Linked DNA regions of Drosophila melanogaster. The protein of the gene in region 1 interacts with the protein of each later gene in a pairwise test. Each region holds a gene or a part of one and is shown in the gene's direction. Other genes may lie near its edges.

Region 1 (4,009 bases):
TTCGGCATTGCGCAAAAACGGATTCGTCATGCTGAAGTCGCGGCCATGCAAGATTGTCGAGATGTCTACTTCAAAGACTGGAAAGCACGGACACGCCAAGGTTCATATGGTTGGCATTGATATTTTCTCTAACAAGAAGTGAGTATATTCGCATATTTCTTCCTATCTGGTGGCAGCAGCATTTGCGGAGAACACAAAGGAAGCGACGCGCTGCTCTTGAATGTAATCAACGAAAAGTGTGCGCAAGCAATCTTATCTTGGACCAAAGTTATCAATAAATTTATGGAGGAAAATTAGAGTTCAACGCGGCGACGCCACCTCAAGCCAAATCCAGATCCTCTTACTTAACGCCTGCTTTGTCTATCGTCGTCTTTGCAGATATGAAGATATTTGCCCATCTACTCATAACATGGATGTGCCCAATGTCAAAAGGGAGGACCTTCAGTTGATTGCTATTAGTGACGATAGCTTCCTTACATTGATGACCGAGAGCGGAGATCTGCGTGAAGACTTGAAGGTTCCAGAGGGCGAATTGGGTGAACAATTGCGTTTAGATTTTGATAGTGGCAAGGACTTACTGGTGAGTTTGCCTCGACACCATATTATTATTTCGCAGAGAATAATTTAATTATACTTTTTCAGTGCACCGTTCTCAAGGCGTGCGGAGAGGAGTGCGTTATCGCAATTAAAACCAATACTGCTCTGGACAAATAGGCAAAATGTGTCGCTGTAAATTTCTGTTGCATTTACATCTGAAACAAATTTATTCAAAGATGCTGTTATAGGCTAGTTGGCTCTACATCTTAAATCTGGTTCTAACGATTGTAATTAATATAACAGAAACTCGAAGCATCATGTTTGAATAACTAAGTAACAAGATACACGTTTGCCAATAAAATTTTTTACCTAAACGTCATCCGTAAAACTATGATTCTCCTGTTTTTCATTGGGTTTAAGCTCTTTATTTCAGCAAACTTTATTCTAATTCGCACAGCTAAATGGGAAAAGTAAACAAAATGTTGGTCTGGACGCACGAATGAATGGCGTCACTTAGCATTGTGATGGTAAACGGCGGGAACCAGATGGGGTGACGCTACCGGTTTTGAATGGGTACAAGATGAACTTGTATTATTGACAACGCTACTGAGCTTTGCTACACCCCATTTAAAAGTGTAGTGTATCCTGAAAAAGATAAGGTACTCGGATATAGAGAATGGAGGAGGCATATTGTTTGAGGCAGGTCGGAATTTCGTATAGTACCAATTTATGTATGTACATGTACATATGTACGGTTTAAATGCCGTTGTTAAATAACATTTCAACATTGATGTACCGACTTTCGGAAAGGTCAAGTAAAAGTACAAAAACAATAAAAACAATTTTCATAAGTTGTAAGATTAGAAGAATAATCGATAATTTTTTAAGCCAAATGCCAATCAATCGATATACCAATTGTCTTGTAAATCGGTTTAGTAAGTTGATAGAGAAAATTCAAATAAGTATTTCTTCAGCTAGCAGATATAAATTACTTGCATAATCATAAATAAATATTAGATTGAACTAACAAAATTGAACTAACTGAACTAACAAGAAGATAAAAATATTTACAACGACCGCTATGAAATGTAGTTAAAAAAATGTAAATCTGAATTTTAATTAAACTTAAAATATATCAACTAGTATTTAACATTTTCAACAAAAAAAAAAGATTTCTTAAAGCCTAATTTCAAATTAAGAATAAATAAAAATATAAACTCATTACACTCGTTTCAATTCCGCGTTCCATTCGAGACACTTTTTATTCCGATAGCACTGGGCGATACATCACTTGCAAACGGTCCTCCCGGAAATCGATAGCTTCTTCTTTCTTTTTCTGTGTGTCTTTTTTGCGGTAAAGTACATGAGCTGAAAATGTCTCAAATAAAATCGGCGAAAACTAACGTAATCTTTGCCTTACAGCGACTGTTCAAGCCAAGATACCGCTATGCCTCCCAAATTCGACCCAACGGAAGTTAAATTGGGTAAGTAAGCGAGTGTTTTTGTGAGGAGTTGAGCTTCGAGCAAACCGTAGTTTATAATAGAGGATTATCTTCAATAACGAATTTCTGCACCCAAATTACAGTGTACCTGCGTTGCGTGGGCGGAGAAGTCGGTGCCACATCCTCCCTGGCCCCAAAGATCGGTCCCCTCGGTCTGGTAAGCATGCAAATCGGTTTGTTTACTTGTGCAATTCGCGCTAACAAAAGTGTCTCTCTGTAGTCGCCCAAGAAAATCGGTGATGACATCGCCAAGGCCACCTCCGACTGGAAGGGTCTGAAGATCACCGTCTGCCTGACCATCCAGAACCGACAGGCCGCCATCTCCGTGGTTCCCTCCGCCGCCTCGCTGATCATCAAGGCTCTGAAGGAACCCCCACGTGACCGCAAGAAGCAGAAGAACAGTGAGTATTGCCCGGCAATCCTGGACTGGACTTCCAATGCCTGTGCCGGGCTGTGGTGGATAATGAGGAGCTTTGCTTCCACCGCACTGTGCCCACATGCACTGGATGGTTCTGTGCTTGATCCCCCGATTAACAGCAGATATTCTTAATTTACAGTCAAGCACAGTGGAAACATTGGCTTCGAAGACATTCTGGCCATCGCCCGCGTGATGAGGCCCAGGTCCATGGCCCGTGAGTTGAAGGGAACCTGCAAGGAAGTTCTGGGAACCGCCCAGAGCGTCGGCTGCACCGTTGACGGAAAGCACCCTCACGATGTTATTGACGAACTGAACGAGGGCTCCATTGAAGTCCCCGCGGAATAAACAGTTTTTTAAACAGAATTAATAAATTGTACGCGATACAGTCTGTAATAATTGACCCAATCGGACAGAATTTTACTTTCGAGCTCAATGCGGCCGTGAATGCGATTTCAGATAGGCTAGCTAAATGTTAAACAAGAGGAAAACTAGAAGTGCATAATATTGCATCAATTCAGCAGAGTAGATTTGCCAATTAAGCAACGCAATAGGAAAATCTTTCTTAGTTCGGTTTAACAGTTGAATTCCTATTAGGCAGAAAACAATGTGCAGAACTCTTGCATTGTTAAAACAATTATATATTTGGAAGGTCTTTCCATTAAATGAGAAGTAAACAATTCGCACATGCCCCGCAAAAAGCACATGCTTGATAAGAAAGTGTTCAGTTTTCGTTACTGGAGAATGCTTTCGGTCACATTTTCCGCCTGGGTTTCCTGCGTTGCATTTACGAATGCATGTATGCCACCCCTTTCCCAAGATACAAATAAAAAGAGAGTATATTTAATCCGCAAATTGTAGACGAATTTATTATTTCATATTCTCGAAAAGATCTTCAGCATTCCACAAAATTGCGGAACTCCTGGAATCAACAGCTTACAGCTTCAACTTGGTACGCCTCCAGTGACGGCGCTTAGCGTTGTAACTGAAAGAAAAAGCGGAAAGTTGAAGTTAATATTAGAATAAGATTATGTTGCACCAATGATCTTTATGTTATTAAGAATATTAAAAATAAGGTAGTGACAGTACACTCAACAATTAAACGCACTTGCGTTGGGATACTTTGCCCTTACAAAACTTTTGCCACTGCAATACTAAACATTTAAATGGAAAACCAACACCGAACTTACCGAATAGTGTTGCCAGTACGTAGGCGAACCCATTGGGGAACGGATCTGTTCTGCTTCAGCTTCTTAGCCAGCTTCTGCTTTATTCTGAACGACTTGTGTGCAGCCTGGTGGAGAAAGAAGTAACGAACGTTTAGTATCTCGATATATTCAAAACATTTGATCAAAAACACAAATAAGAAAAATTTCCCACCATTTCGTCCAATCTTTTCAACGAGCCACACCGGAAAGAAAGAACCAGACCGGAAAAGAATACGCGCTGGTGGTGGGTTTATATCGATAAGTTCACTTATCACAATTTCATGCAATACGGAATGATGAAATAGAACGAAAAATATTTGAGGCATTACAAAAAATTATAATATAAT
Region 2 (4,048 bases), on another chromosome or scaffold:
TGGGCACGCGGCTGACCTCCGGAGCGCTCGATGCGTCGCGGGTCAAGCGGAACCGTTGCGCCAAAAGGCAACCAAGGATGGCTGCAAAACAATTAAAAGCACGCAGCGCACCTTCCAGCGTCTAATTACAAATTGGAGTCATTGAATTTATTAAAATCGGCCGCGTAAATTGTGCAGCAATGCACTTGAGACACGCAAACTGATATTGTGGGCCATCGCCGGTTGGCGCTTCTTGGCTCTCATTACTCGGTCATAACTCACTGCGCCTGTCCGGTTGGTTCAAGTATCCCTAGCCACTTGAAAACCCATAAAGCCAAGTCGGCTTCCTCTTGCAGAAACATAATTGCTCGACTTCTGTTCAGCAAACTCCTTTTTTATGAAGATCTAAAGCGGTTTGTATACATACTCCGTTGGAAGTAAGTACTTCTAGTTACTAGAATATAGTTAGCACCAAGCGTTAACCTTTCGCGGCCCTTCATGCCTACTTAAATATGCAATACAAGTTACAGCTGTACATATGTATGTATATTAACCTTAAACTAGATCCATAATTCTGGATGGATGGTCAGTGCAATTTTTTGAAAAAGCCAAAATGAAGACACATCCCATTCATTGCCTAAATATGGAAATGAATTGTAAATAATTTATGTATGTTTCGATAACATTACTCCTGATACATTTTAGTAAAAGGTCCTTAGTAAAGACATTTAGTTAAAATTGGTTGGCTTGATGAAAATCGATATAAATATTTAGCTCAGAAATTGCGTGCATAAAAAAGTATTCAAAGGATATAAGTTATTTACCAGTTACCTCATAAGTGAGGAATAATTGTTTAAGCTGCCTGAAAAACCTAACACAAATTTTTTAAATAAAGAAAAATAAAAGCCTTTTAGAAATAACATGCCAAAAGTATGCAATGCATATCCAGGAAATCTAGTGATCCACCATCCACCAGTCAATCTAATGACACTATGGGAAACATTTCTTCGTAGATTTGCGGTTTTAATAGATAAAAATATACCAATACATTAACATATTTCACTTAAGGATACAGAATGAAACTCTTTGATAGTGACCATGAAGGGATTAAGAATGCGGCAATAGTTCCTCGTTTACGTAGCAACAGGAGCCGGAGCAGCTCCCTCCGGTTCGGCAGCCTTTTCTCCGTTGCCGTTCTGCGCCTTGGCTGCCGGCAGATCCTTGACTCCGGTGGAACCGAATCCTGCCTCGCCGCGCTCGGTGTCCTCCAGTTTGTCCACCATCACCAGTTGCGGATAGAAGATACGCTCGCAAATGAACTGGGCGATGCGGTCGCCATGCTTCACCTCGAAATCAACATCTGAGTGATTGAACAGGACGACGCCGAGATTGCCGCGATAATCCTCGTCCACCACACCGGCGCCCACATCAATGAAGTTCTTCACCGCCAGCCCGGATCGTGGGGCTACGCGTCCGTAGGAGCCCTCCGGAACCTGCACTTGCAGATCGGTCTTGACAATGGCCTTTCCGCGTGCCGGCACCACAACGTCGTAGGCGCTGCGCAGGTCAACTCCCGCCGCTTTGGCGGATCCCCTCACCGGCTCCAAAGCATTCTCGGTGAGTTTGGCGAATCGCAGGACGCACGTGTCGATCTTCATCTTCTTGGCAGCTGGAATGTCGGCGAAATCGGTTGATGGCATTTGGAGCAAATTGAGTTATTACAGGAATGCTTCGAAAGTACAGAGACTTTTTTCAGCTTACTTGCAGAATTCTGGTCTGAAAATAACGCGGTTTAACACAGCGTCGGAAAATTGGCGGACTTCCAGTGTTGCAAGATACCAAAAGTACAAATCGCCGAAAATCTACCAAAAAATCTTAAGTCAGCTTTGCATTTCTAAAAAACATATATACAACTATGCCTTGAGTTTAATTAAACAAATAATAAATAAAACAATAATTTAGGCATTAATAAATAAATCAAATTGATTTTATTAAGTAAAACGACCAATCACAACCAACCCTGATAAGCAACCCTATCGATATATCGATACTATTGTAGTTGATTAACACACCTCTATTTAGCACGTTGTTTTGAAAAATTCACTTGATGCGTTAATGTTAATGTGTTGATAACTGCAACTTTAAATCATGGCGAACACTTATTTCGATGAGTATGAAAACTTGGAGGTAAATAAGATTATAGATCTTCTTGTGAAACTGTACTCATAGTGACCAAACTACAGATCCACGAGCTCATGCTGAAGGATCGTCCTCGGCAAGAAGCCTACTACAATGCGATATTGGGGAATAAGGATCTGTTCAAGGACAAGATCGTAATGGATGTTGGTGCCGGCACAGGGATTCTGTCCGCCTTTTGTGCGAAAGCAGGAGCCCGTTTGGTCTACGCCGTAGAAGCATCCAATGTGGCCACCAAAGTTGCGCTGGATTTGATTGAGGATAACGGCCTGACGAACGTGGTGAAGGTGATCCAGTCGCGTGTTGAGGAATTCGTACTGCCTGCCGAGGCGGAAAAGGTGGACATCATTGTGTCCGAGTGGATGGGCTTCTACCTGCTGCACGAGGGCATGTTGGACTCGGTTCTCCTGGCCCGGGACAAGTTCCTCAAGGAGGGTGGACTCCTGTTCCCCAGCGAGTGCACAATTTTCGTGGCACCCTGCTCGGTACCATCGCTCTTCGATGATTGGCACAACGTGGACGGCATCAAAATGGACACGTTTGCCAGAAAACTCAGAACCCAAAAGTCATCCCGACCGGAGATTACACAGCTGAATCCGCAAGATCTTCTGCACGAGGGCGTCGTCTTTCACTGGATGAATCTGCTGGATGTGGAAGCCAGCGATTTGGACAGCATTCAGTTCAAGGAGGTAATAACAGCCCAGAAGGCGGGCAATCACCAGGGCTTCTGCATTTGGTTCGATGTACAGTTTCCTGGCGAAGATTTTGTTCTAAGCACATCGCCGCTATCCCCGCCAACGCATTGGAAGCAGTGTGTAGTCGTCCTGCCCGAGGAATCCTGCGAAAATCTGGAGGAGAAGTCACCCATTGCATTTCAAATCACAATGAAGCGCAGTGCTGCCGATATGCGTAAATACAATCTGGAGGTGGATTTGCTAGACCCCAACACAGAGGAGCATCCAGTGCCTTGCTCCTGTCACATGACGAAGTGCATTCTGACGGAAGCTCATCTAAAAATGATGGACACCTCATGAGTTACATGCCATCTCGGAATCCGAACAACGATCTGTGGGGAAATCAATTTATTTAACATGTTTAATACAAATACAATATATATCTCAGTCAAACTTAACGTCTAGTCCAGCACTTTCAAAAATTTAATTAAAATAACGCAGGCCGACGGCTTTAAATCAACAACCGCTGCAGCTGACTCTGAAGTTCCTTGAGTGAATGTTGAAGACGATTAGTGTCGGGCTTTTGGTAGCAAATATTCAGGCAGCCGGCCACTATGTCTTGAGCCTTGCCAACAATTCGTCGTCTGCAAGTTAAATGTGAATGTAAGTAAATCGTATCGGCTAGCATTTTACTTTTGCACTTACTTTGACCGGTACCAAATAGATTGTGCGTTGTCTGCCAGAAGCGAGACCACTCGTATGACGGATTGTATTAAATGCCACTCATTACCCTCGTTGGCCCACACTCGTTCGTTCATTGAAATCATTCTGAAAGTTTTTAAAAGTTTAGCCTTTAAACAATTTTATCTCTGCGAAAACCCTTCAATACGTACCTCGAATAGTATTCCAGGAGCAGTTCAATGTCCAAATTCATACTCACCAGTTTTTCCGGCACTATGCCCTCGGGAAATCGCAGTTGGCAGGCTTTAACTTCCAGTTCCCTTATGAGAAAGGCAAAGGGAAAGCAAACTCCAGACTCGCCATACTCCCTTACCAAGATTTCGATTTTCGTGAATAACCTATTGCAGCGCTCACTAGTTGTGCCCGGCTTATCCACAACGCTGTTGATAATCTGGCCCCAAACGGACTCGATCAGTAGGGGGTCGTTGTGATGCGAGCAGTTGAGTATGGACAATTGG

What was found.
Region 2: the proteins of RpL12 (region 1) and Art8 interact in a two-hybrid assay, tested with the Drosophila melanogaster proteins (2 studies listed by BioGRID).

What each region holds. Positions count from the first base shown.
Region 1 is NT_033778.4:24,058,554-24,062,562, forward strand, and holds RpL12 (ribosomal protein L12), read left to right. Parts: upstream 1-1,824; 5' UTR 1,825-1,891; intron 1,892-1,900; exon of another isoform or gene 1,901-1,959; 5' UTR 1,960-1,984; coding exon 1,985-2,021; intron 2,022-2,122; coding exon 2,123-2,196; intron 2,197-2,259; coding exon 2,260-2,440; intron 2,441-2,596; coding exon 2,597-2,802; 3' UTR 2,803-3,307; downstream 3,308-4,009. Other genes in the region: eEF5 (eukaryotic translation elongation factor 5), read left to right, coding at 1-138, 379-580, 643-714; RpL39 (ribosomal protein L39), read right to left, coding at 3,391-3,439, 3,645-3,748, 3,835-3,837.
Region 2 is NT_033779.5:11,009,072-11,013,119, reverse strand, and holds Art8 (arginine methyltransferase 8), read left to right. Parts: upstream 1-2,033; 5' UTR 2,034-2,127; coding exon 2,128-2,166; intron 2,167-2,198; exon of another isoform or gene 2,199-2,222; coding exon 2,223-3,209; 3' UTR 3,210-3,299; downstream 3,300-4,048. Other genes in the region: dUTPase (deoxyuridine triphosphatase), read right to left, coding at 1,113-1,679; Nup154 (nucleoporin 154kD), read right to left, coding at 3,361-3,493, 3,555-3,677, 3,743-4,048.